Linked DNA regions of Callithrix jacchus. The protein of the gene in region 4 purifies or fractionates together with the protein of the main gene of each other region. This does not show direct contact. Links are inferred from orthologs where the notes say so. Each region holds a gene or a part of one and is shown on either strand. Other genes may lie near its edges. The genes, in order: UBTF, EZH2, CBX1, CHD4, SIRT6, BCL11B and NUMA1.

Region 1 (4,020 bases), on a different chromosome or scaffold from region 4:
CAGGCTGGAGGCTGGGCCTGTTGGAAGCAGGCTTCCTTCAGACGGCTTTCTGGCTCCCTGCGTCCGGATAACCTTTCCTCTGAGAAGGGGAGGCAAAGACAGACAACCACGGCCATGGCAGTGCAAGGGTGGGCGGTGGACCCCGTCCAGGCTTTTCATCACCCGCCTGCAGGATAGTGAACCGGGGGAAGTCTCGGTGGCGGTTGCCCCGCTGCCGCCCGGGCAGTGAGGCCGGGGTGCCGAGCTCCCCTCGCGGCTGCCCGCCGCCGCCGGGGGGCAGCGCCTGCGGCCTGCTTTCCCAGGGCTGGCCGAACCTTTTTGACAAACTGATTGCGTGGCGGGGATTGGCTGGTCGGGGCGTGACGCCGGTAACAACAAAGGTGGAGTTGGAAGAAATTAGATTAAAGGAGAGGAAAAAAATTAAAGGGGGAGCTGGCAGAGGACAGGAGGTAGAGACCGAGGGGGAGATTCGCGAAGCGGTGTCTCTCCCGGTTCCGACTACTCCACGCCCCAACCCCAGAAGATTCCTCGCACAAACCCACTGGGATTTTGCTCTTTCCCCCACCCCGGCCCAGTGGCCGATGCCGGGGTAGCAAGGATAGCCGCTGCTTCTTGAAAAATCCCGAAACTCCCACCCTGACACCCCTCACTACGAGCTAAGGAGAGAACTTTTTGCTCGGACTCCTCGGATCCTAAACCCAGCGAAGAGGGGAACATTGAGAAGCTCGTCCTAAAACCCGGAAGGCCCTCGCGGAGCACGGAGATCGGATAAGGCCGGGTGCTCCCATGGTTTTCCGATGTGTTGCAAATCTAAGAGCTTCTTTCTCGCTTTTTTTTTCCTGTAACTCCCCCCCCCGCCCCATTTTGCTTCTGGGTTGCAAAAGCAAAGAGCAATAAAAAAAAAAAAAACGCGCACACACTCAGACACACACCAGTGGCGACATGGGAGAGAGTTGGAAAGACGCAGGAGAGAGAAGCAGGAGGCAGGAAGCAGCGGGGATGGAGCAATGGGAGCGGGAAGGAGGCAGGTTTTCTCGCAAATCCCCCTCCGGCCTCAAGCCGTCTCGCCAGCCCCGGCAGGGGAGCGAGGAGCCGGGCGAACAGATGGAGGAGTGGAGCTCGCTCTAGGCAGCTGGGCTTGGCCGGAGAATGGAGGAGCCACCAAGCGACCGGCTGATTGGAAGAGAAACGCAGAGCGATGGAGGCGGGGGTAGGAGGACGATTTCTCTGCGGGGACTGGCGGCGGCGTACACGCCCGGGTCGGGCGCTGCAGAGCTTGGCTGGCTTTCAAGCCGCGCTCGCCGGCTCCAGCTCCGTGCGCCCCCCACTACTAGCCCTCCCGGCGGCTCCGCAGGTGAGTGCGAGCTGGGGGCAGAAAGATCCAAAAGTCTCAACACGCCCGCCCTGCAAAAAAGAAAAAAAAAAAAAAAAAAAAAAGGAAAGGAAAAAAAGCATTTTTCTTAAAAAAAAAAAAAAAAAATTTTCTGTGCAACCCCTAGAGCAGTGGGAGGGAAGGGGTGAGGCTGAGCAGCCCGGAGGAGGCGGAGGGGCCAGGCGAGGCCGCCGTGGCCCGGGAGGCGGCGGCGCCGAGGCGGCTCTGACGGGCAAGCGCTTGGAGCGGCGCTGCGCTGCGCCGAGGCGGGCGGGCGGGCGGGCGGAGCGGGGCGGGCGGAGCGCGGCGCGTGGGGCTCGCCATTAGCCGTCGCTCCGCTTCGCCATCTCGGGCTTTGTCTGGCGACTTGCTGCCCCGGCGTCGGCTGCAGCGGAGCTGCGGCTCGGCTATTCGGACCGCCGCGCCCCCAGGTGCCCCCAGCCCGCGCTCCCATCCACACGCTCGGTAAGTGAGCCCGGGCGCCGCGGATTTCGGGGGAGAGGGGTCGCTACGAGTGGCGGTGGCGCCGATCTCCATGCGCCCGGGCAGGCCTGGGGAGCCATGCCGGGCTGGATTGAACCGGCTCCCAGAGCGGCTTCTCCGCCGAAGCCCGTCGTTCCTTCGCCGTTTCCGGGGTGTAAAGAGCAATGGGGATTTTTTTTTTTTTTAATGCAGAGGTTTTAGTTTTTTGTTTTTTTTTTTTTTTAAGTTTCGTATGTGCCGTTCGGCAGTGAGGACCGCAAGGTAGGCACTGAAGCCGGGCGCCGCGATCGGCGTGCGTGCGCCCCAAGCCAGTGACCACGCTCTGGGGGATGAGGGTGTGCGCGGACCGCTCGCTCCGGGAGGCGGGAAAAAGCTGGCCTGGAAGCCCTAGTCTGAGCTGGGAGGACTTGGGGGAGAGCTCCGGAGCAGAGCTGTGGGCGCCCCCCGAGCCTCTCCAGCCGCCGGGGGCCCCTTTGGGCACCCTCTCCGCCGCCGCACCTCGGCCCTCCCTCTAGTGCCGGAGGAGCCTGTTAGTTCCCCCGCGGGTCTGGCGAGGTCGCTCTCGGCGCCCGCCCGCCCCGGCTCCGAGCTCCGCCGCCATCCGGGCGGCTGCGTGTCTCCCTGCCCCGGCCCCCCCCCCCGCCCGGCGGCAGCAGCAGCAGCCGCCGCCGCCGCCGCCGCCACCACCACCACCACCCCCCTCCCCTCCTTCCTTCCCTCCGCCTCGGCCGCCCGGGTCCCCCCAGCTCCCGCCCCTCCTCCCAGCTGCCCCCCGCGGAGCCCGCCCGGGCAGGCTGTGGGAGGGAGCGGAGCCGGCGAGGCGGGCGGGCTGGCGCTCGCTCCCCGGGGGTCGGTGTGCGCTCTACGGGGAAGGACGCGCTCGCTGCCCCGCTTCTCCCGCCCCCCCTCCCGCTCCTCCTCCTCCCTTCTCCCTCCTCCTCCCCGCTCCGGCGGCTGAGGCTGCGGCGGCGGCGGGGGGTGTGCGAGCTGAGGCCGGGGCCGGCGGCGGGCGGGCTGCCTGCAGGCGGAGGGCGCTGTGCTTTGTGCTTTTCGCCGCGAGGAGCAGCAGGCAGCAGCCACAGCCGCCGCCACAGCCACAGCAGCAGCAGCCGCCGCCCCAGCGCCGCCGCCTCGCCCGGAGGAGGAGCCGCTGCCGCCGCGGGAGGGAGCTGCGGCTGTGCCCGGCCGAGCGGGGGAGGGCGCCGCCGCTCAGAGCCGGGGAGGGAGCCGCCGGAGCGGGAAGCCCGGAGGCCGCTCTGCGCCGGGTAACCGAGGCGGCTGAGGACGCGCGCTAGGGTCGGGGCCTGACGGCAGGGAGCGAACCGCAGGGTGCGGTGGGCGCCCGGCTGGGAACCGGAGCAGGGGACCGGGCGCGAGCAGACCAGGGCACTGGGGAGGACGCCGAAAGCCGGGGGAGGGGAGGGCAGGAAGCGTGGCCCGAGCCGAGACCTGGCCGCTGGCGGAGGAGCCCGCGCTTCTCGGAGCCGGCAGGCGCAGTTCTCCCCGGCCGCCGGAGGGGGCGGCGGGGCCGGTGAGCGCTGCGCCCCCGCCTCCCGGCCGCCGTCCTCCCGCCCTCTGCTTGGCTCGGCTCCCCGGAGGCCAGGGCGGGGGCGCCGGCGGGGCTGGGCCGCAGGCTCGGGGGAGGAGGCGGCGGTTCCCGCCGCGGTCGCGCCTCTGCGCCGGGCTCCTCCGTGCGAGTCGGGGTGGCTGGGCGGCGGCGGCGCCTCTGGCCGGGGTAGGTGGCTCGGGGCGGGGGGCAGGCTAGGCCGCTTCTCTCCAGCTGCTCGCCCGCCTGAGCGGGCGGGGAAGGCGATGGGAGCCCGGGAGGGGGGAGCGGTGGGAATCCGAATCCGGTCCCCGGGGGCGGTGCGGCCGTTGCGCTCCGGGGCTGGCGGCGGCTGCGCTGCGTCCGGGTCCCCGCCGGGTTGCGGAGGCGGGGGGAACCGGCCGGGGGGAGGCGAGAGGAGGAGACTGGGGCGCGTGCCCGCTTCCGTGGTCGCGCGCGCCCTTTACCCGCCCTTCCTCCTCCCCCGCCCTCCAGCCTGGGGCCTCCCCGGGGCGGGCGCTCAGAGGAGGAGGAGTTTTTTTTGGCCAGGGTTGGGGAAGGAGGGCGGAGGGCGGGCGCTTGCTGCACGCGGGAGCTGGGAGCAGGCTCTCGCGTGGGC
Region 2 (2,308 bases), on a different chromosome or scaffold from region 4:
GTTAGTGAGCATGAAGAGCAACGAGTGGTTACCGACTTGTTCACATAACAAAGTATCCCGGAAGTACTCAAGTCCATCATCACAGGATGGAAAAGGGAGCTCCAATTCTGACTTCAAAGGTACCTACCTTTTGCATAGCAGTTTGGATTTACCGAATGATTTGCAAAACGAATTTTGTTACCCTTGCGGGTTGCATCCACCACAAAATCTAAAAAAAAAAAAAAATATGCACAACCCAGTGAATTTCAGTTTTAAGTCAATCAAGTTATTATGATTCTGTAAATGCAACTGGTTATAGTTCTTTAGGGTTTGCCTGCAAAAAACAAATAAACCATTCAACCAACTTCATTATGTAAGAAATGACATTTGGAAGAACATACTATTTATTGTTCCAGGTTAAATTTAATCACCTGTAATTCAAGATGGTTATCTGATTCAAAAGCTATTACTTATCAACTATAAACATATCTGACTGAGCAAAACATGGCCAAAAAACCAGAATCTAAATTCTTCCAAATTTCAAGAATAGGCATTTTCACATTTAAAATTAATTTTAATGTCTATGAAGCATTCTTAGAAAAAAACCTACTACTTCCAACTAACAGTTTCTCTGAGTATCTTACATGTTAAGCCTACCTCCATTTTCATATAATCCCACCAAAACACTCCCTATAGCCTTACATTCTACCCTAGAACATATATCAGCTATGCAAGAAGCTGCCTTTCCTCTCAGTCCTTTGAGAATATCCAGGGAAGTCTGGAAGATGCTTTCAAATGCAGTGCTCCCTCCTGGTCAGAAGCACTGACTGGAGGAGGTGTGCTGAGCTTCTGGAACACAAGAGGTGAGCAGCAACAGAGCACAATGTCCCCTTCACAGCCAGAGACTGGTGCAGCCCCATCCACAGATGGCTGGGACTCTAGAGGCGGTTTCCTAGTATTTGCTACCTGAGGAATTCCTTGCTCCAGTTCCTTTCCAGCAAGCAGCCCCAATGCCTTTGTGGAGATCTTCCTTCCGGTCACCTCACTGACCTCTACCTTCATTTCTGAAGCAGAAATTGCATGCAGCAAAAGGCTGCCACATGCAATTCAGAGGAACTCACTGCCTCCCAGCTCAAAAACATACCATTGTTCAAGTTGAACAGAAAGCTGCACATGTATTTATCATACACTTTCCCTCTTCTGTCAGCTTCATCTTGAGAAATAATCTAAAGAGAAAGACACAGGAGAAAATTCTTTTGGATAAAGGTGATCAAGCCTGACAGAACACACAAAAGTTCACAGAGTGAATACTGGACCTTCTGGAGAATATTCAACAAAAAGGGTCACTACTGCCAAGTTCTCTTTCCCATTCAGTCTGCACACTGGACCCTCAACTCAGAAATATTTCCACATCCCAAAGTAATTATCCTTGGAGAAAGTAAGAAACAAAAGTCTTTTTGCTGAGTTACACACACACACACACACACACACACACACACACACACACACACACAGAGTTTGGCTCATGCGTGTAATTCCAGCACTTTGGGAGGCAGAGGCAAGTGGATCACTTGAGGTCGGGAGTTCAAGACCAGCCTGTCCAACATGGAGAAACCCCATCTCTACTAAAAATATGAAATTAGCCATGTGGTGTGCATGCCTATAATCTCAGCTACTTGGGGAAACTGAGGCAGAATCGCTTGAACCGTGGAGATGGAGGCAGAGGTTGCAGTGAGAAGAGATCATGCCACTGCACTCTAGCCTGGGCAGTAAGAGCTTCACCTCAAAAACAAAGGCCAGGGGGTGAAACACAAAAATTGGGTGAGTTGGTTCCAAACTGAAGCTAGCCCTATGATTTTTCTTTAACGCAACAATTTAAAAGGTGAGTAACTAATGACACTGTTGTTTCTAGGTCCTTATCAACTAGGTTGTGGATTAAGCAGGACACTATGATAAAGCTCTTGTTCTCCCTGTTGTCCCTCAATGAGAAAAGCTGTATTTGGCTAGAATCAAAGCAATCCAGTTATTTTTTTTCCCTTTGAGACAGGGTCTTACTTTGTCACCCAGGATGGAATGCAATGACACAAATATGGCTCACTGCAGCCTCAACCTCCCAGGCTCAAGTGATCCTCCTGCCTCAGCTTCCAAGTGGCTGAGACTACAGGTATGCACCACCCTACCCAGCTAATTTTTGCATTTTTTTGTAGCAATGGGGTCTCACCATGTTGCCCATGCTGGTCTCCAACTCCTGAGCTCAAGCAATCCACCTGCCTCAACCTCCCAAAGTTCTAGGATTGAAGGAGTGAGCCACCGCACCCAGCACCATCCA
Region 3 (4,103 bases), on a different chromosome or scaffold from region 4:
TAATCTTTTTTCTTTTTTTTTTTTTGAGACAAAGTGTCACTCTGCCACCCAGGCTGGAGGGCAATGGCATGATCTCGGTTCACTGCAACCTCCACCTCCCGGGTTCAAGCAATTCTCTGCCTCAGCCAACCAAGTAGCTGGGATTACAGGCACCCACCACCATGCCCAGCTAATTTTTGTATTTTTAGTAGAGACAGGATTTCACCATCTTGGTCAGGCTGAACTCCTGGTCTGGTGATCCACCAACGTTGTCCTCCCAAAGTGCTGGGATTACAGGCGTGAGCCACTGCACCCAGCCAGGGGAATTAATCTTAACACTGAGTAGGTTTTTTTTTTTAGATGGAGTTTTGTTTGTTGCCCAGGCTGGAGTGCAATGGTGCGATCTCAGCTCACTGCCACCTCCGCCTCCTGGGTTCAAGCAATTCTCCTGCCTCAGCCTCCCAAGTAGCTGGGATTACAGGTGGCACCACCATGCCCAGCTAATTTTTGTACTTTTAGTGGAGACGGGGTTTCACCATGTTGGCGAGGCTGGTCTTGAACGCCTGACCTCAGGTGATCCACACACCTCGGCCTCCCAAAATGTTGGGATTATAGGCTTGAGCCCCCGCACTCCGCCTTAAGAGGAGTTTTGCAGAGATTTGAGGAGGCGGAGATTGAGGACTACAGAAACGGTTGGAAATTTGAGGAGGCGGAGATATAATAAAGTTCTGGTTAAGAACATAAGATTAAAAAATTCAAGGATGTGAATTACCTAACTGTCCAGAAGTGGTTGATTTTTTGGGCCAAGCATCAAAGGGCTCATTTATAAAAATCACATGTCCTGGTCGGGTGCAGTGGCTCATGCCTGTAATCCCAGCACTTTGGAAGGCCGAGGCGGGCGGCTCACGAGGTCAAGAGATCGAGACCATCCTGGCCAACATGGTGAAACCCCGTCTCCACTAAAAAATACAAAAATTAGCTAGGTGTGGTGGCGCGCGCCTGTAGTCCCAGCTACTCGGGAAGCTGAGGCAGGAGAATTGCTTGAACCTGGGAGGCGGAGGTTGCAGTGAGCCAAGATCGCGCCGCTGCACTCCAGCCTGGGGACAGAGCGAGACTCCGTCTCAAAAAAAAAAAAATTATGTTCTAATTTTCTAGGTTACAACGCTCAACGCTGCAGTCGCTCCGCCGTTACAGTTTAAAACCTCGAAGTCCCTACCACCCTCGCCTACTGTGCGTGCGCAGCGCGCGGCACTTCGGGCCCTGTAGTCTTGGACTGATCCCGCGGACCAGGGTGCCATGCGGCGGGTCGCCGCGCCTGCGCGGTGCGGGCGGCGGGCAGAGCAGAGTGCGAGGCTCTTTTGTTCGGTTGAGGGGAGGGCCCTTGGCCTGGGCCTGCGGTACGCCGCTCCAGTGAGGTGCTCCATTGCGGCCACCGGGCTTGCTGCCTTCCTGGGCGCCACTCCCCCGGCCGACCCGACACGACGCGCCAGCAGCGCAGCACCGATTCCTCTCCGGCTGTTAGGCGCTGCTCTGAGGTGAGGAGCCCGCTGGAGGCGGGAGAGCTGGGGGAGGGGGCACGGTGGCGGCGGCGGCGGGAGCCCTGCGTGGGGGCCCGCGCTTTCGAGGCAGAGGTTGGGGGCGGGGAGCGGGGAGCGCGCCCGGGTCCAGCGTCCTGTTTTTCCACTTCCCGCGCTGAGCTCTCCGCCTGGCGCTGAGGCGTCGTTGCCAGCTGCGAGAAGGATGGGGAGGGCGGGGCGCGAATCCTGAGCCAGAGACTGAAGCTCTTCAGGGTGGGCCGAGCAGTTGGGGACCGCTTTTCCGGGCCCGCGTAGTCCGGGACAATGCTGCTTGGGTTGGGTGGGCGTCTGGGGATAGGGCTGGAGAGAAAACACCTTACAAGATTGGGAAGGGGACAGGCTTGAGGCTTGGATAGGTGTGGGGAGGAGCTGACGACCGCGAGACCCGAGGTTTGTAACTGTAATCGGAGGACGCCGGGTCCCGCCGGGGCTGCCAGAGAAACCTGGCTTTGCAGGACTACGGAAGAGTAACTTGGAGTTAATTGGAAAGAGGGCCCTGGGCCGCACAAAGTGTGCCGATTGGTGGAGGAGATGGAATAAATTGGGAAGGGGGGCACGGAGGGGGAGGGGCAAGCGTTTGCTGGGCCTGGCTCTGGAGGGGGAGGAGCTGTTAGGATATGTAGGGCGGAGATCCGGAGAATATTTCTGTAAGGTGTGTAAGGGAAAAGGGGAAAGCAGGCCGCCCTTGCTTCCTGATGGGTCCTTTCAGTGGGGAGGCTGTAAAATAATACGTGAAGAAAGGATTGAATACGCTTTCTTCACTTTTCCAGGTTTCCTACTGCCTTTGCTCCATGATTCCTTTGGGGAGTTAAGTCCAAGTGCAGCTCTTGCTTTGATTCAAAGTTAGTTCCATAAGTTTTTGTCTGGGATCGTTACTGGTCTCACAAAGGTGATAAAATTGTAAAATGCGTAGGTGAGTTAACAGTTAAGGAATGGAGTGAGGTAGTGATGACATCGTGTAAGGTAGGAGAAATTGGGAGACAGGAAGAGCAAGTATGTGAGATTGTGAGATAATACTTGTTTAGTGGGCCCTTCTGTTTTTTAGCCAGGTTTTCCTTTTTGGAAACTTTGAATACAGAGTGAGCAGTATTTTACCTCTTTTCCAACTATTTAGATGAGGGTTTTTCGTGAATTGATGTTACATTTAGACTTGTGTTGGTTTAAGTCAGTTGAGGTGGAATTTACAAAAAGATAGCTATAATCTGTTATACTAGAACCTCTAGCCTAGGGTAAAGTAGCCTTCTCAGTTGTGTTAAGAATCACACCAGCAGTTTGGAAAAATTGTGAAAGGTCCAAGGCTTTGGAATAGATTCAGGAATACAATGGGGAAATTAATGCCGGTGTTCCTCCTTAGGTGCCTTACAGACTTTTATAGGAAAGTGGTGAGATTGAAAATCCCTTGTATTGAAACCAGTTGCACCTTAATGAAGCTTCAGGGCAGCGGAGGACCTGAAGTCATTTACGATTTTCCCTGTGGTAATATTTTTCTTCAATGGCTGCTGTTATTCTAAATTATTTTTCACTAAAAATGTAAATAATGGGGCCGGGGATGGTGGCTCACGCCTGTCATCCCAGTACTTTGAGAGGCTGAGGTGGGCAGATCACCTGATGTCAGGAGTTTGAGACCACCCTGGCCAACATGGTGAAACCCCGTGTCGACTAACAATACCAAAATTAGCCAGGTGTAGTGTGCACACACCTGTAGTCTCAGTTCTTCGGGTGGCGGAGGCAGGAAAATAGCTCGAACCTGAGGCAGAGGTTACAGTGAGATGAGATGGCACCACTGCACTCCAGCCTGGCAACAGAGGGAGACTGTCTCAAAAAAAAAAAAAAGAAATAGTTTTGAATGTAAATAGAAGCCTAGTGCTTATAGCTTCCATATTAAAGGAGACCAAGTAAGGTACCCTAGTCTTCTGCATTTTATAAACCATATCTCCAAAGAAAAGAAGCAATCACTCTTGTGCCCATTTTAAGGACTAGGAAAATGTTTCTTTTTGTTGTTCACACCATTTGAAAAGAATTCCTTAAATTTTGGCATACTCTAGTGGTTTATCTAGCAAAACCTCCCTTTTTAAAAAATATCCTGGCTGGGCACGGTGGCTCAAGCCTGTAATCCCAGCACTTTGGGAGGCTGAGGCGGGTGGATCACGAGGTCAAGAGATCGAGATCATCCTGGTCAACATGGTGAAACCCCGTCTCTACTAAAAATACAAAAAATTAGCTGGGCATGGTGACGCGTCCCTGTAATCCCAGCTACTCAGGAGGCTGAGGCAGGAGAATTGCCTGAACCCAGGAGGCAGAGGTTGCGGTGAGCCGAGATCGCGCCATTGCACTCCAGTCTGGGTAACAAGAGCGAAACTCCGTCTCAAAACAAACAAACAAAAAAATATCCTATCTGCGGTGGTATAAGAGATTTTCCATTAGATTTGGTAGATTTTCACTTCATAGGTTCTTTCCATAAAGAGTTTTTGGAGTAGAAGGCTAATTGCTAGTTTATGGACTCCCATAAAATGGGCCATACCTCTTGTTCATCAGTGCCTGCCACAT
Region 4 (3,500 bases):
CTTGGAACCAAAACCTCCCAACTTGATTTTCAGGGGAGCTACTTTCTTGGGTTTAGGCTTCTTGGCATCAGGTACACGAGGGCTGCCCTTGGGCTTCCTCCGAGCATTGGGACCTAAAATCAGGATACATCCAAATATATACCACAAGACCAAAAACGGGGAAAATAAAATCTTCTCCACCTAAGCTTACTTCCCAACAACCAAATTCCCAAATTTTCCCTCCTAAATCCAAGACTCATTCCTCCCTCCTATCTCTATCTCCTACTTTAGGGCGAACAGAACAGCATTCCCATGCTGTCTTTGACACCCTAGACCCACATTAGACCCCCCCCCCGGTTCCCATTTGAACCCCCATTTCACCTTTGCCCTCCTTGGTCTTGGCCTTGCGGATAGGGACCTCCACAGGGGGAGGTGGTGGTGCAACCTCAGTGGCTGTCACCATGCTCTCCACCACAGCCACCGCTGCTGCTGCTGCTGCTGCCACTGATGCCCCAGAACTGCCTTTGAAGGGATTATTGGTACTGAACTCCCGCCATTTTGCACCCAAAACCATCATCATCTTGGAGACAGCAATCTTGGGATTTTTGGCAGCAATGAGGGGTCTAGTGGAGCAATGGACAAGAACAGAGGGAAATGTGTAAGAATAAAAGAAAGTGAAGTAAGAAGAGATAATAGAAAGACTCTCCTCCCCCTTCCCCAAGCCCCTCCTGTTTTACCTGACAAACTGGCTGAAGGCCTTGTAGTTGGTGAGGGTTCGATAGTCCTCCTCTGAGAACACGTGGTCAATGTCTTCCATGCCCCAGTCTTCCAGGAGCTGAGCAGATGATTTAGGCTCCTGCAGAAAGAGAGAAGTCAAGGACCTGCCACCTAATCTCCACACTTGCTAAGCAAATTTGTGTTGAAAGACCAAAGTAACAGAATTAAGAGGAAAAAAAGAGAAAGTGTTCTAAAGGGCAGTAGAGTGTCTAGGAAACAAAAGGACAATAGCTAACAACACAAAGAGGGGGATGGAGATCCAGGCACCTTTGAATCATCGTCGTCGTCATCCTCCTCCTCCTCCTCCTTCCGCTTGGATTTGCTCTTCTTCTCTTTCTTAGGTCCAAGCTTCTTTTTCTTCTTCTTACCAGGGGTATAGTCGCTACCCTCACTGTCTGAGCGCAGAGCCACCTCTTCCTCCTCCTCCACAAACTCTGGCCCCTCCCCAGAGCTGTCCCCCAGCTGCCGGCATAAGAGCATACGCTGGAGCAGGGAAAGGGGGGGGAGAGGGAGACAGACACACACATGCTACACACATGCTGACCTCAGGACAGCCCTGAGGCTCATCCCCAGAACCTGGCCCACCACTCCTGAGAAAGACACAAATGTCCTCAGCCCTTCAACCCTTCTCAGAGCTCCTCCCTTCTTCCTCTCATTCCCCATAACATTCAATCACCCACACACCTCCTTTTTTTGGCGCTTGCTCTTAGGGATTTTAGGGTCCCGAGGTTTCTTAGGCTTTTTCTTCTTCTTGAGCTTTGGAGTCTCTGTTTCTGACAAATCCTCTTCTGGGTCCTCTTCATTTTCTACATATATTAGGCAAAGAGTGGCAGGCAGGGAAAAGATCAATAGCAAAAGGTTAGGGCCTAATCCAGAGACTTCAGACTTTATTCCCCACCTCTTGTCCCAGATTCCTCTGAAGAGAACTGCTATACTCTTTAGAGAAGGAAGCTGATACCCAGGACAAAAACAGACAAAGAGAGAGCTGTATATACCCGAAATAGGCCTGCCAGGCCAGACCAGGCCCACCTCGGGCAGCTGTCCAGACCCCTGCCTCCTCTCTCCCGTGCCTACCAGCAGTCTTCTAGGTATTTACCAGTACAGCTTAATCAAGCTGCTTAGACTTCACCAACTAAGAGAACTAGGTTTAGGCCTTCTGTAACTGGCCATCAACTATTCAACAAACCAGGGAATGAGAATGAAAGGTCCTATTCAGAAGACAGAAACTATAGAAGATACCCTCACCACATTCCCACAACAGGATCAGTTCAGGGGTCTGGGAAACCACACCCTTCTCTGACCACTTTGAAGTCATCACTGCTCAAATTAACCAGAACCTCCAAGTCCTAGGTTCAGTTGCCAGCCCAATCCATCCCCACTCCTAAAATACAATTGCCTTTCCCCATCTCCAACCCTAATGTTCCTCCTCAGCTTCTCCTGGGTCAGCAGCCTCTTCTCCCTAGGGGCCCAAATCAGCCCAGCTGTCACCATCTCCCCCTGCGCCAACCCCCAGCAATCCTCCTCCCATCTGGCTCCACCTCCTCCCCTGGCTGGAAGCACACACAAAGCCGGGGGTAATACTGAAAGCTCCAGGGCAAGGAAAGGTGGGAAGGGGCACAGAAGGGAAAGAGAAGGCCAGGAGGCAGCTTCCTTTGTAACAGACATTCACACCAGCTCTGACTCCTTCCTCCCTCCTCTCTCTCCCTCTTCCCAAGCCACCCCCGCCTAAAGTGGGGGTGGGAGGAGTAGAGAAAGGAGTGGAGAGAAGAAGGGAGTGCCTCACCCACTGAGGAGAGGGAAAATGGCTCCTGACCGCAGAAGCCAGCCCAGGGCACCCAGCTGCCAACATAGGACAGACAGGAAGTGGCAGGGGAGGGGGCGGGGTTGAGAAAGGTAGCGGAGAAAGACTGCCCTCATAGAAGCCTCCCCAATTACCTGGCCGCAGGTCTAAATACCACCTACTCTGGGATGACACAGTTCACAAGAGGCCCCTCTAAAGTCCTAACCAAGGAAAGCAAGACAAACATGAAAGTAATACCATGAGAGGAACTCAATTACTCCCTCCATCATAATTATTTTTTCAATCATCAGAGCTGAGATTTAACAAAGGCTCAGTGAACCTGTGGTCAGAGCATATAACCTCCTCCCCAAATTTCTGATACCCAAAAGATTTAGTTTGCGTAATGGAGGCCCACAAGAAGTCTCTGAAGCTCAGCTTCCTCACTAACCCCACCCAGAGTCCTATCCAACATATGGGAATATCTGCACAAAAAGGCGCAGGACCTAGAGAGTAATAGAAAATAATATCCCAGCCAGGCACAGTGGCTTATGCCTGTAATCCCAGCATTTTGGGAGGATGAGGCGGGTGGATCATTTGAGGTCAGGAGTTCGAAACCAGACTGGCCAACATAGTGAAACCCCGTCTCTAGTAAAAATACAAAAATTAGTTTGACAATGGTGGTGGGTGCCTATAATCCCAGCTACTCAGGAGGCTAAGGCAGGAGAATCGCTTGAGGCTGAGACGTGGAGGTTGCAGTGAGCCAAGATCGAGCCACTGCACTCTAACCTGGGTGACAGAGTGAGACTCCGTCTCAAAAATGTATATATCTATCTCTATATCTATATATATCCCTCCTTCAATCCCTGACATGCTCTTAACTCTTGACCAGCCAGAATTAGCCCTAAAATGTCTCTGGCTCCCCACTTCCTGAGCTAGATAGATACTATGGAATCTGAGACATTAG
Region 5 (4,007 bases), on a different chromosome or scaffold from region 4:
TTCCCTATCATCACTGGACTGATTTCAGATTCTGGAAGGAGCCACGCTCTTCCTGTCTCCTCAGCCTTTGCACTTGCTGTTTCCCCCACTGGGAACATTCTTTCTATATTTCAAGTCACTCCCAACCGGCTCTACCTGACTCATGCACTCTTTAGATCTTTGCTGCAACATCCCCTCCTCCAGGAAGCCCTCCTGGATGCCCCCAAGCTGGGTCAGGTGCCTCCTGTGAGCCCCCTCGCTGCCCTGTGCCCTCTGCATCCCCCATTGCACCGCAACCACACCATGTCACCATTACCTGATCACATCTTTGTGTCCACCCCCAGCCACCAGGGCAGGGACGGTACCATCTTTGTTCCCCAGTGTGCCCAGTGCACAGTAGGTGCTCAACACATGATTCTTAAATAAGCCCTCCAGGCCACCAGCCCCAGTGACCACGAGCAGGAAGTGTCCTGCAAAATTCAGAGCCTCCACTTGTATGATATTCAGATAACCTGGCCCGGCGCGGTGGCTGACGCCTGTAATCCCAACACTTTGGGAGGCCGAGGCGGGTGGATCACCTGAGGTGAGGGGTTCGAGACCAGCCTGGGCAACATGGTGAAACCCCATCTCTACTAAAAAACACAAAAATCAGAAAAAAGAAAAAAAAAAATTAGCTGGGCGCGGTGGTGGGCGTGTGTAATCCCAGCTCCTCGGAAGGCAGAGGCAGGAGAAACGCTTGAACCCGGGAGGAGGTTGCAGAGAGCTGAGACTGCGCCATTGCATTCCAGCCTGGGCGACAAAGCGAGGTTGTCTTACAAAAAAAAAAAAAAAATTCAGATAATTCAGGGTGGCATTCAAGACCCTTGGACTAGGGGGTCCCTGCTGTCTGGCACTGTCCTTATGGAATTTACTAACACGTAAAACGGGGTTATGGGGGCATCGATAGCCTGCGTCCCTCATTTTAGAGGTGACTGGAGGACTCTCACGTAGGCGGCCGCCCCAATTTCCCGCTCGGGTCATCGGGCAGCCCCTTCCCAAACCCCGAGAATGCCTGCAGCCAAGAAATCGGGTTTCCTTCCGACAGCAGTTAACATGGCTCCTGCGGCGTCAGCACGCGGCGCATGCGCCTTGCCGAGGGAGGCAGGGTTCGCGGAACAGGAACGCGGCTCCTCCTTCCTCCCCGCCGCGCCCCGCTTCCGGCGGAAGCGGCCTCAACAAGGGAAACTTTATTGTTCCCGTGGGCGCGGCGAGGATGTCGGTGAATTACGCTGCGGGGCTGTCGCCGTATGCGGACAAGGGCAAGTGCGGCCTCCCCGAGGTGAGCGCATCCGGGGATCCCGAGGGTCGCTCCCAACGCCGTTGGCAGGGAGGGTCCGGACGGCAGCAGGGCATTGTGGGAATATCAGGAGACACTGAGGCTAGACAATGGGAGGGACTTCCCAGTGAGGAAGGGGCGGGAAGTGACACCCCTGCGCACCCGGGGACGCGAACACGCCCAACTCTGTGGCCACCGGCCGGGGCTGGTCGGGGAGAGCGGGGGTGTGTAGTTCCAGGAGGAGGGGACGGCAGGCGCAAGGGCAGGGTGGTGGAATAAACGCACCTGGAGAACGATTAGGCCGGGGAGGTTTCCAGAGCCGGGCCAGGGCGGGGCTCAAATGCCAGGCTGGGGAGTTGGCACCTTCTCCCGAGGGGGATGGAGAAGGGTCTTGCCCTGGCGAGGGGCCTGGACAGAATGTGCCAGGAAGATCCCTCCAGCCACTCGGAGGGGAAGTGGAGGGGTCGGCTGTCCCCTCCGCGCCCGGTGGGAAGTCACTTCAGTTCTGGGTCCCCATCCCCATCCTTTCTGCGGAGGCTGTCGCCTGCGTGAAGATGGCCCCGTCCCATAAAGGCTGACCCATGCATTCCGAGTCTTGCATTTAGTGAGCGCTGACGGTGTGTCTGTCCAGAAGCCGCGCTCTTCATTGCTGCTGTCAGTCACTTTATTTATTTACCTACTTATTTTGAGGCGGAGTCTTCCTCTTGTCACCCAGGCTGGAGTGCAATGGCGCGATCTCGGCTCATTGCAACCTCCACCTCCTGGGTTCAAGCAATTCTCCTGCCTCAGCCTCCCAAGTAGCTGGGATTACAGGCACGCGCCACCACGCCCGGCTAATTTTTGTATTTTTAGTAGAGACGGGGTTTCACCATGGCCAGGATGGTCTTGATCTCTTGACCACGTGATCCGCCCACCTCAGCCTCCCAAAGTGCTGGGATTACAGGCGTGAGCCACCGCGCCCGGCCTGTTAGTCACTTTCTTCCACCAACATTGATGGAGCACCTGCTGTGGGTCAGGCACTTTCTAGGTAAGGGGGCCACAGTCAGGAGCAAGACAAGTTAACCCCTCTTTCTAATAAGGGAGACTGACTAGGGGTTGTATGGAAACCAGGTGGCCAAGGGAGGCGTCACTGTCGCTGAGGTGACATCTGACCCACAAGTTACAGGAGGTGAAGGAGGCATCCATGTGGGTATCTGGGGGAAGAGCACTCAAGGGTGTGGGGACAGCCTGTGCGGAGGCCTTGAGGCAGGACTGTGCCTGGCGTGATGGAGGAAGAGGGAGGAGGCCTCCCTGCGTGGCTGGATCAGAGTGAGTGACGCTGGGAAGGGAGCAGAAGAGAACATGAGGGGGCAGGGCTAGGGCTTTAACAAGGCAGGTGGGAGCCACGGAGGTCTGTAGGCAGAGGACACACATGAGGACAAGCTGCCTTTTCCAATCTATTTCCTGCCCCAGGCAAGAAAGGGACAGCTCGGTCTGTGGCTCGTGTATGGCCTGGCCACTTGCGGGACCTGTTCTGACCCCTCCATCTGCTCCTTCCCCCTACAGATCTTCGACCCCCCAGAGGAGCTGGAGCGGAAGGTGTGGGAGCTGGCGAGGCTGGTCTGGCAGTCCTCCAACGTGGTGTTTCACACAGGGGCCGGCATCAGCACCGCCTCTGGCATCCCCGACTTCAGGTCTGTGAGTGAGTGTGCAGGGGACATCGGGGCAAGGCCCACCAGCCTGCCACGGCCTTCCCCGTGAGCCACACAACTAGGCATTAGGGCCCATCCATCTTCCTTCCTTCCTTCTGGATGTGTCCTGGACACTGGGGAGGGCTGATATTCCCTCCCTTTAGGACGTGTCCCTTGAAATCACAACCAGCATTCCACTCACCCCCTTGGCCTGATCACACCTGGCTGGAAAAAAAAAAAATCAGAATTCCAAGGCGTGAATTTTTCCTCCTCCTCCTCTTCCATAACCTGCTGTGGCTCCCCATTACCAGGCAGGAAGAATTCTGAATTCCTGGTGCTGGAAGCTCAAGCCCTTTGTTCCTGGCCCAGCCCCGAATCACCTCTCCAGCGTCAGCTCCTCCTGCCCCTGCTACAGCCCCCAAACACTTGCATTTTCTCCTAAACTCATGGGTTCTTCCCAGCACCCCGGCGTCTGTTTACCCCTTCTGTCTGATATTCCCTCTCACCCTTCAAGAGACGCTCAGACTCCTCCAGGAAACCCTTCCACATGCCCCAGCGTCCCCACCACCTCCACTGGCCTTCCCCAGGCCCAGGTACCTCCTCTGATCCAGTCTTGACCCCGTGGGGCCAGAGGGTCTGTGTCCACCTGTCTCCCCCAAGATCAAGGGTTTCTGGAGGGCAGGGCTTGGGTCCATGTGCCCTGCCAGGCTCAGGGCAGCAGCAACCAAGTTGATTGAACTGAATAAGTCATTTTTGCCTTCGTGTGAATTCATCTCTCCCTCTCTCTGTCTCTCCCTCTCTCTGTCTGTCTCCAATTCTAACTTGACTTTGTCTTTAACTCGTTATATCTCTGTCTCTGTCTTATTCTGTCTCCCTCTCCCTGTTCTTCCAAATTTACCCTCTATTTCTTTCCGACTCCCTCTCTCTGCCTCCCTGCCTCTCTCTCTGTCTCCTGATTTTCTCTCTCTCCGTCTGTTTTTCTGTTCCCCTCTCCCCCTCCATCTCTCCCGGCCTGCCACCTTCAGGGGTCCCCACGGAGTCTG
Region 6 (4,021 bases), on a different chromosome or scaffold from region 4:
TAAATGCAACCAGAGAGTCTTCTTTGATGTTACAATGGCGAAAAATAAAAGAGAAGTCCTTTTCCCTCCCTCCAAAGAGGCATCCCTCTCCCAAGGCGAATCCCACTTTAATATCTATTCCCCCACAAAAATAATCAAAATAAATCCACAAATTCTTACTAATGTATCTGCTGTAACAAAGGAGAGATGGCAACAGCAATTGCTCCGAGCAGATGGCTCCTATGCTGGGTTTTCAGGGGAGGGGAGAACCCCTTTATATATTTATTTATTTATTTAAATTTTTTAAAATATAACATAAATATTCGGCTCTCGGCCGCCCCGCAGCCAGTCCTCGGCGGCAGCTGGGCGCGCAGCCCTCTCTAGCTCCGCGCGGGCAGTCCGGCCCCAGCCCCGCGAGGTGCGCTGCGGATTGCAGGCTTACAACCTGCCCGCGGTCTCGGTGGCGCCCAGAGGATGTTTTATTTCTATTGCAATTGAAAAAAAAAAAGAAAAAGGAACGGCGACCCGGGCACCGCGAGAGAAAGAACGCCGGGGAAATGTTCGCGCGCAGTGAGGAAGCGGCCCCGCGGGCTGCGGCGGGCGGGGAGCGCCGCGGAGCCACCTTCCCGGTGCAAGTGTGCGGGGACCCGGGGCGGGCTCCCCTGCAAACCCCGTACCTGGCCCGCTCGCGCTCGCTTTTTCCCTCGGCTAAATAAACCCAACAGGGACGGTGGAAGCTGCTGCTTCTCTTGCCCCGCCGCCTGACTTTGCCCGCCCCGCCACATGCTTGAAATCTACACGATTTCAGCGGGTGGATTTCCACTGCGACCTGCCTTGTTTATTTAGATAGGAAAGATGAAAGATACTGAGATAGAAAGATGGATATGAGATTGATGGGTCTCCTTTTTTTCTTCTTTTTTTTTTTCTTTTACTATTTTACAAGCGCATCACTGTCTTCCCACTCCTGACAACCTTTTTTTTTTTTTCTCGTGGAGGGATTTTTCACCAACCCCAATCCCCCCACCTTTTTTGGAGTGGGAGAAAGAAGACAAGATCATCCCAGGAGACAGACGGAGGTGGGGAAATGGGGGGTAGGGAGGGGGCTTGAGCCCGGCAAACAGCCGCGCAGCTGGATTATTTTGCAAATAGCAGGAGGAGGGGAGAGAAAGGCGGCGGCGGAATCCTAGGACCGGCGTGGCCGGCGCCTTGCTGGGCCGGGCGCGGCGACCGGGGACCCGGAGCCAGCGGCCGCCCCTTGCCCTCCAGCTCCCCCAGCCCGGAGCGCACCCCGCTCTCCTCCGCCCGCGCCATCAGCGCGGACCCACGCGCTCGCCAACTTTTCCCCACTTCCCGGCTCCCCCCTCCCCCTCGGCTCCCCCAACCCCCTCCCCCTCCTCTCCAAACCCCGCCACCAGCGCCGCCGCCGCCACACACGCCGCTCGGAGGGGCGAGCGTCCAGCCGGGCTCGGCGCGCACACACACTCCTCCAGCCTGCACGCCCCCTCCCCGGCCCGGAGCCGGCTCCGCAGGCCCGCAAGCCCGAGAAGCGTCCGGCTGCTCAGCGCCCCAACTCCCCGAGCTGCAAAGAAACTTTCCTTTGGCCCCCGCCCCCGCCATGCTCCAGGCCGACGTCGTGGCCTCTGCCAGCCCGCAGGCGGCCCCGGCGCCTGGCCCTACTCGGCTGCTCCGGGCTCCGTGTCCCCAGCCCTAGGCGCCCGGAGCCCCATCTCCGGCCCCTTGCGCGCACGCCGCAGACACTTACGGGTGATGAGCTCCCTCTGGGACAAGTGCTGCGGGTTGCCCTGTTTGCGGCGGGACATTGCCCCGGCATCTATTCTGGCATCGCCCGGAGAGCTGCACTGATGGGGGGAGCCGGGGGAGGGGGTCCGAGCCGCCGCCGCTGCCGCCGCGCCGCTGCTGCCGCCGCCGCCGCGCCTCCTCCTCTGCCCGGGTTGGTGTTTTTTTTCCCTTCCTCTCTTGCCCTCTCTTCCTCCTCTTCTTCTTTATTTTGCTCTTTCTTCTATGCTGTTTTTTGTTTTGTTTGCAAAAAGAAAAAAGAGGAGGAAAAGCAAGAAAAACCTCTCAATCTAAAATAAGAGAAAGAGGCAAAAAAAAAAAAAAAAAAACTGCTGTGGCTTTCCGCGGACTGGCTGGTTTCTTTAAAAATATATTCTTTCGAAGGAAAAAGAAATCTCTCACACTTCTTCCAACTGCTTGGCCTCTTGCACTTGCAAATGTCTTCTTGAACTTAAACTGGATTTTGCACCGGCTCCTGACACTTTCTTTCAGGTCTGGTAGGTGGAAAGCGCACTTCTACCAGGAGGGGAAAAGAAAAAATTCAAACAAATAAAATAAAAATAAAAAGAAGAAGAAGAAGAAGAAAAAGCAAAGAAAAAAAAAGCAAAGAAAACTTGGGGACTTGTCTCGTACCCCCTCACCCCGCCCCCTCAAAAAACCCAAAGCAATGTAAAACTGCCCCGGTTCGGTTGTTTCTGGGTTTTCTGCGGGCTGCCTGCCTTTTTTCTTTCTTTCTTTCTTTTTTTTTTTTTCTCGGAGACTGACCCTTCCGAGGCTCTGGGGGGACACCAAGAGCGGCTCCTTCCCAGTTCACCTGGCAGGCTGGCGCCGGCCGGAGGGGCTGCCGAGTCCCCGCGAGCGCTCCCCAGCGCTCCCCTGGCGCCGCGGGCCCGGGGGGAGCGGGGCGGAGGGGCGGCTCGCCCAGTGCGCCTGGGTCGGTGCGGGCGCGGACTGGGAGCTATAGATTGCAACGTGAAGATGGCGGAGTCCGGGTTCTCTGGGAGCTCTCGGTCTCTCTATGGCTGGGGCTGCCTCTGTACAATGGGATAAAATTCAAGTTCAAGTGCGGACGTGACGTTTAATCTGCACTAGAGACAAAAAGACCCAGAGAGTCGGAGCACTGGGGGCGACTAGCGGTGGCTTTTTAACATTGTACCCTGTAAGAGAACAAGAAAGCACAGAGACACACGCGCGCGCGCACACACTCACACATGTACACACACACACTCGCCGGTGCGCACACCCGCAGCCCAGGCAGGCCACACGTGCAAACCGCGTTTTTGTGCGTTCCTCATCTCCCCCGATCCCCGGCTGCGCTAAAGGGGGAGGGGGCGGGGGCCACTGGGCACCATATTTTTAAAGACAAGAAAAATCGTCCTTATATCCCCTCCCTCCTGGGAGCAGGACCCCCTGAGAAGAGGGGGAGGGCAGGGTGCCGTGTGAGTGAACTACATTGAATCAGTGCAAGTCTCCACCCAAAAGCTCTTTCGGACTTGGACTTTGGGGGTGGGGGTGTGGACTGCGGAAAAGGGTTGGGGTCGTCATGGCGGTGGGGGACATGAAGAATTGCTTCGTTTCCCTGGAAAAGTCGCTTGGTAGTTTTTACTTTTATTTTACGGTTGCGGGGGGCGGGTGGATGCTGAAGTTCAACTTCCAAAAAGTGTCTCCATGTAAATCCTGGTATTACAGACTCTGGGAGGGTGAGGAAGACAAACGACACCAAGAGGACAGAATCAACAGCACGTGAGGGGGGTGGGTGAGAAGTGTCTGAGACCTTGTTTGAGTCCCATTTGGAAAAGGATTTGCACCCGAATTTTTGCCCCCTCCCCTCCCCTCACCCTCATTGACTCCTACGGGCCCCACCTCCTATACCCGGTCTATGGCCAGCGAGAGGGTAAAGGGACCGCGGCGCCCCACGTGGGAGAGGGACTAGGACTTGCGGGCTCAGGAGTAGGTGTGGCCAGATCTCCGCAGATACTCGAGTGGGTGACTCCAGGAGGCGCCCCTGACAATCACAGTAACCTGGAAGTCGCACCCCGCCTCCCGCGCTCCTCGGCCCAGGGTAGGACTTGGAAATGCCTGTCAGACTGGGAAGGACGCAGCTGCCTTGTCAGCCGTTTGATCTCCAGCCGGCGAGGACAGGAGTTGTGGGGCCTGTCCGTGGCCCGCGGACAAGGCCACACCACGGCCCCCGTGGAGACTTCCCCCACCCCCCATTCCCCAGGCTGAAGCCAACTTCGTCCAT
Region 7 (3,978 bases), on a different chromosome or scaffold from region 4:
ACATGTGAAGGATGTATGTATCTATAATAAGAAAGGAAGGAATAAAATGCAAGGAAAACTGGACAAACAGTAGACATATATGGGTGAAACAAAATAATCACTAACAATGTAAAACAACACACATTTTAATTGAGATGGAGTCTCACTATATTGCCCAAGCTAGCCAGGAACTCCTGGCCTCAAGCAATCCTTCCGCCTGCTCCTCCTGCCTCAGCCTCCAGAGTAGATGGGATGACATAGCCAGCCACCATGCCCAGATACAAAGTAATAATAATAATTATTTTTTTAATAAAAAAATATGGAATGCTTCACGAATTTGCGTGTTATCCTTTCGCAGGCGCCATGCTAACTTCTCCGTATCATTCCAATTTTAGTATATGTGCTGCCGAGGCGAGCACAAGTAGTAATTATAGAATTGCTCAACATCGAGATGGATTGACTTTGGGAATGGTCTCATTCTAGAAAGTCCTCATTTTGAGTCTGGGCAACACCTTTTCATACGTTTAGTGGGTTAGAGGCTGAATTAAATGACCACACCCTTTCAATGGCAATAACAGCAATTACTTTTGCACCAACCTATATCTTCTGATCATAATTTTATCAATTAGACACAGCTGTCCAAACAGCCCCTGATCAGCTCTGTTTAGCCACCTAAGGAGGGCTTTGCCCTCATCCTAACAGTTCGAGAATTCAAGTCTTATTTCAAGGCATTCTTCCCGCTTCCATATTCCACATGTAAAAAAGAATTCTATGTTCCCTAATGAGCTTTCAGGTAAGATCTTTAAGCTTTTGGGGTGCACAGTTTTTTGCTTTGAACTAAGATTAGGCATTACAATTAGTCATCACTGCTTGAACTTAGGCCAAGAAAAGAGTACTTCGGAAGCTTTCACAACGTGTGTGCTTCTTCTAAAAGAGAAAATACCACACAGAAGCAGAGGGAGAGAGGAAACATACACCCATCCGTGCTGACTGAAAGCTCCTTTACATGATTTTCATGCTCACCCCCGGTTCCCATATATTCACAGCAGTAAAGATCTCCACAAAGTAGACAGGCCCAACTCCCTTACTATTAAAGCTTTAACGACCAGACAACCCAGAAGTTTGGAAACATAGAACCAGCGAACAGATACTAGAGAGAGGGAGGTATGTATTAAGGCAAGAAAATATCATCACGTTTTCAAGAGGGAGTGACATTCCAGGAAAGAGGACAGCTTAATACTTAGGTTCAAATGCCACTAAATGAAAATGGGGGCCGGGCGCCGTGGCTCACGCCTGTAATCCCAGCACTTTGGGAGGCCGAGGCGGGTGGATCACGAGGTCAAGAGATCGAGACCATCCTGGTCAACATGGTGAAACATTGTCTCTACTAAAAATACAAAAATTAGCTGGGCGTGGTGGCGCGTGCCTGTAATCCCAGCTACTCCGGAGGCTGAGGCAGGAGAATTGCCTGAACCCAGGAGGCGGAGGTTGCAGTGAGCCGAGATTGCGCCATTGCACTCCAGCCTAGCGAAACTCCGTCTCAAAAAAAAAAAAAGAAAATGGGAAAGCAAAGTTCCTGTGCCCTTTCAGTCCAGGAAAACACATTATTCCAAAGCAAACATTAATGCCCATTACATGTCGCAAATCCTGCCTTAGCCATTAGGATACAGTGACGAAAAAGTCTCTCATTATCTAGAAGGGCAGACAAACACGCAGAGACTCTTAAAATACCAGATGACAAGTGCTAACTCAGAGGTAAGCAAAAGAGAGTACCCAGAGGCGGGAGCATCAACCCACAATCTTCACACAGTCACATCACTTATAATCATAAATTTGTACCCTCCGAGGTGAGTGTATGAAACATGTTATCTGTGAATAAAACAAAATACCAAAACAAAACAAGCCCATAAAATAAAAAATAAAAAGACCTACCTCTTTTGACCAGGATAACTACCCCAGGAAGTAGGTAAGTTTACATATATGAAAAGTGAGGCTCAAAATACACCGACCAGCCCAAGACAATGCGCACCCCCACAAAGCACCTTCCCCGTCTTCATTTATGCCCAACTGGCAAAACCCCAAGTAGAGCCAACCTCGCATTGGCTACGTAACCCTGGCCAAGCTAAACATTAAAAACCTCGGCCTCCCCATCTTTAAAGTATAACAGGTGCTTAGAGGATTGAAAAACCATTGGGAGGTCATTGTGGACAGTGTAGCTCAGAAAAATGCTGACTACTGCACTACCATAACTACTGCTATTGATAACGATAAACGCTGAAGACTTTCCAGGACCCGACCCCTCGCTTACAAGCCTTTCAGGCACTACCCTACCCCCAAACCCCGACCCCCGTCGCCCTCAGACTTAATTTCACAGACACGCCCCCAAACAGACCCTCCCCTTTATGGCACCCCCCCCGGCTCCTCCCCCTCAGACAGGCGGCTCTCCTAACAAACCTTACCCCCAAATTGTGCCCTTTCGGACTCGGTTACGGAGGAGGCCTTCCGCTCACACCGGCCTCTCCAGCACCCCGGTGCGCAGGCCGCATGCCAGACGCGGGCCCGCGCCGGTTACCTGGCTGCACGCTCCCGCTCCGCCTTGCGATTCCCACTAATCGTACCTTATCCCGGGCTCTGGCCAGCGCTGTGAGCGCACAATTAGTTTAAACTATGGCTCCGCCCCCTCGTGCTGCCCTCTGATTGGCCTCTGTCGGCAGTTGTCTTACGCGGGGCACGCTTGAAGACCCGGGGAAAGGAAGTTTGAGGGCCACTGGGAAAGAGAAGGGGTATCACCGCTTCCGGACCCCGGCCTGGATTTGAAAGCAAAGAAAACTACAAATCCCAGCGCCACCCGCGGCCTTGAAGCTCCGCCTCTGACAAACTACAGGTCCCGGTAAGCATAGCGTCAGTTCTTACGGCGCCTGCGGGATAGTGGCGACAAAAGTAGTTGCTATGGAGTTGCCCTGAGTAACCCTGAGGGACTCCGAGACTGGAGAGGAAGCAACTGCGGGTGAGTCAGGCGGGAATACAGGAAACTCATTCTAGGGGACAAGAGATCTATGGAGAAGGGAGGGGCACCCACAGAACGACTAAGAACTTCCCTGCTGGGGGATCTGAGATTTCCCCCACCTCCCCTCATTCCCTTTCACAGTGGGCAAGACACAACACCCACATGGGACAAACTGTGGGGGCAGAGGGAGGGAAAAGCATTGAGATACAAACCCATACAGATTTGGGAGTGTTTAAGAACTTCCCCCAGGGCCGGGCGCGGTGGCTCACGCCTGTAATCCCAACAGTTTGGGAGACCAAAACTGGCGGATCGCTTAAGGCCAGAAGTTCGAGACCAGCCTTAAAAACATGGCGAAACCCCGTCTCTACCAAAAATACAAAATATTAGCTGGGCTTGGTGGCGTGCTCCTGTGGCCCCAGCTACTAGAGAGGCTGAGGTAGGAGGATCGCTTGAGCACAGAAATTGAGGCTGCCAGTGAGCCGTGATTGCACCACTACACTCCAGCCTGGGCTACAGAGCAATACCCCCATCTCAAACAAAACAAAACAAAACAACGAACCTCCGCCCCCAACACAAACATAAGGCTCCCCAAATCAGATGCTTCAAGTCCCAGGCCCAACCTGGGAGATCGGAAACGCCCTCAGAAATGGGATTTGTTTTCCTCTGAAGAATTTGAACCCTCTTCCAAAACATGTTTTCCTCTGAAGAATTTGAACCCTCTTCCAAAACATGCGATTAGCATTAGATAGAGTAAATCCGCAGTCCCTACCCTAACTCTGGAGATGTAGGAAACTTCCTGGGGCGTGAAGTGCCTCTTTCCTTCCTCCCCCAAACAGTAAAACCTCTTCTCAATTGGCAGGATCCTCCCACACTGTTCCCAGATTCCCTTTTATCCCCACACCTTCTCCATGGTCCGCTTCTCAAAGCTCTAGTTAGTTATATTCTTTTTAGTCCTCACAGATCTATTACAATAAGTAACTTATCCAGCGCTT

The links.
Region 1: the proteins of CHD4 (region 4) and UBTF purify together in Homo sapiens (affinity purification with mass spectrometry, with the first as the bait; 3 studies listed by BioGRID). This does not show direct contact. The link is inferred for Callithrix jacchus from reciprocal best matches to the Homo sapiens genes CHD4 and UBTF.
Region 2: the proteins of CHD4 (region 4) and EZH2 purify together in Homo sapiens (affinity purification with mass spectrometry; 5 studies listed by BioGRID, with this or other methods). This does not show direct contact. The link is inferred for Callithrix jacchus from reciprocal best matches to the Homo sapiens genes CHD4 and EZH2.
Region 3: the proteins of CHD4 (region 4) and CBX1 purify together in Homo sapiens (affinity purification with mass spectrometry; 7 studies listed by BioGRID and IntAct, with this or other methods). This does not show direct contact. The link is inferred for Callithrix jacchus from reciprocal best matches to the Homo sapiens genes CHD4 and CBX1.
Region 5: the proteins of CHD4 (region 4) and SIRT6 purify together in Homo sapiens (affinity purification with mass spectrometry; 3 studies listed by BioGRID, with this or other methods). This does not show direct contact. The link is inferred for Callithrix jacchus from reciprocal best matches to the Homo sapiens genes CHD4 and SIRT6.
Region 6: the proteins of CHD4 (region 4) and BCL11B purify together in Homo sapiens (affinity purification with mass spectrometry; 4 studies listed by BioGRID and IntAct, with this or other methods). This does not show direct contact. The link is inferred for Callithrix jacchus from reciprocal best matches to the Homo sapiens genes CHD4 and BCL11B.
Region 7: the proteins of CHD4 (region 4) and NUMA1 purify together in Homo sapiens (affinity purification with mass spectrometry; 3 studies listed by BioGRID and IntAct, with this or other methods). This does not show direct contact. The link is inferred for Callithrix jacchus from reciprocal best matches to the Homo sapiens genes CHD4 and NUMA1.

What each region holds. Positions count from the first base shown.
Region 1 is NC_133506.1:71,070,974-71,074,993, reverse strand, and holds the start of UBTF (nucleolar transcription factor 1), read left to right. Parts: upstream 1-1,220; 5' UTR 1,221-1,354; intron 1,355-1,722; exon of another isoform or gene 1,723-1,837; intron 1,838-2,081; 5' UTR 2,082-2,116; intron 2,117-3,066; exon of another isoform or gene 3,067-3,184; intron 3,185-3,449; exon of another isoform or gene 3,450-3,590; intron 3,591-4,020. UniProt on the Homo sapiens protein: Recognizes the ribosomal RNA gene promoter and activates transcription mediated by RNA polymerase I (Pol I) through cooperative interactions with the transcription factor SL1/TIF-IB complex.
Region 2 is NC_133512.1:98,909,661-98,911,968, reverse strand, and holds part of EZH2 (histone-lysine N-methyltransferase EZH2), read right to left. Parts: intron 1,206-2,308; coding exon 1,124-1,205; intron 209-1,123; coding exon 128-208; intron 1-127. UniProt on the Homo sapiens protein: Polycomb group (PcG) protein. Catalytic subunit of the PRC2/EED-EZH2 complex, which methylates 'Lys-9' (H3K9me) and 'Lys-27' (H3K27me) of histone H3, leading to transcriptional repression of the affected target gene.
Region 3 is NC_133506.1:118,186,861-118,190,963, forward strand, and holds the start of CBX1 (chromobox protein homolog 1), read left to right. Parts: upstream 1-1,303; 5' UTR 1,304-1,514; intron 1,515-4,103. UniProt on the Homo sapiens protein: Component of heterochromatin. Recognizes and binds histone H3 tails methylated at 'Lys-9', leading to epigenetic repression. Interaction with lamin B receptor (LBR) can contribute to the association of the heterochromatin with the inner nuclear membrane.
Region 4 is NC_133510.1:20,791,144-20,794,643, forward strand, and holds part of CHD4 (chromodomain-helicase-DNA-binding protein 4), read right to left. Parts: intron 1,563-3,500; coding exon 1,441-1,562; intron 1,240-1,440; coding exon 1,024-1,239; intron 836-1,023; coding exon 717-835; intron 603-716; coding exon 361-602; intron 114-360; coding exon 1-113. UniProt on the Homo sapiens protein: ATP-dependent chromatin-remodeling factor that binds and distorts nucleosomal DNA. Acts as a component of the histone deacetylase NuRD complex which participates in the remodeling of chromatin.
Region 5 is NC_133523.1:3,924,703-3,928,709, reverse strand, and holds the start of SIRT6 (NAD-dependent protein deacylase sirtuin-6), read left to right. Parts: upstream 1-1,207; 5' UTR 1,208-1,231; coding exon 1,232-1,297; intron 1,298-1,441; exon of another isoform or gene 1,442-1,518; intron 1,519-2,146; exon of another isoform or gene 2,147-2,321; intron 2,322-2,839; coding exon 2,840-2,967; intron 2,968-3,989; coding exon 3,990-4,007. UniProt on the Homo sapiens protein: NAD-dependent protein deacetylase, deacylase and mono-ADP-ribosyltransferase that plays an essential role in DNA damage repair, telomere maintenance, metabolic homeostasis, inflammation, tumorigenesis and aging.
Region 6 is NC_133509.1:134,158,085-134,162,105, forward strand, and holds the start of BCL11B (B-cell lymphoma/leukemia 11B), read right to left. Parts: upstream 2,801-4,021; 5' UTR 1,800-2,800; coding exon 1,742-1,799; intron 1,295-1,741; exon of another isoform or gene 657-1,294; intron 227-656; exon of another isoform or gene 160-226; intron 1-159. UniProt on the Homo sapiens protein: Key regulator of both differentiation and survival of T-lymphocytes during thymocyte development in mammals.
Region 7 is NC_133511.1:68,865,873-68,869,850, reverse strand, and holds the start of NUMA1 (nuclear mitotic apparatus protein 1), read right to left. Parts: upstream 2,801-3,978; 5' UTR 2,598-2,800; exon of another isoform or gene 2,410-2,597; intron 2,049-2,409; exon of another isoform or gene 1-2,048. UniProt on the Homo sapiens protein: Microtubule (MT)-binding protein that plays a role in the formation and maintenance of the spindle poles and the alignement and the segregation of chromosomes during mitotic cell division.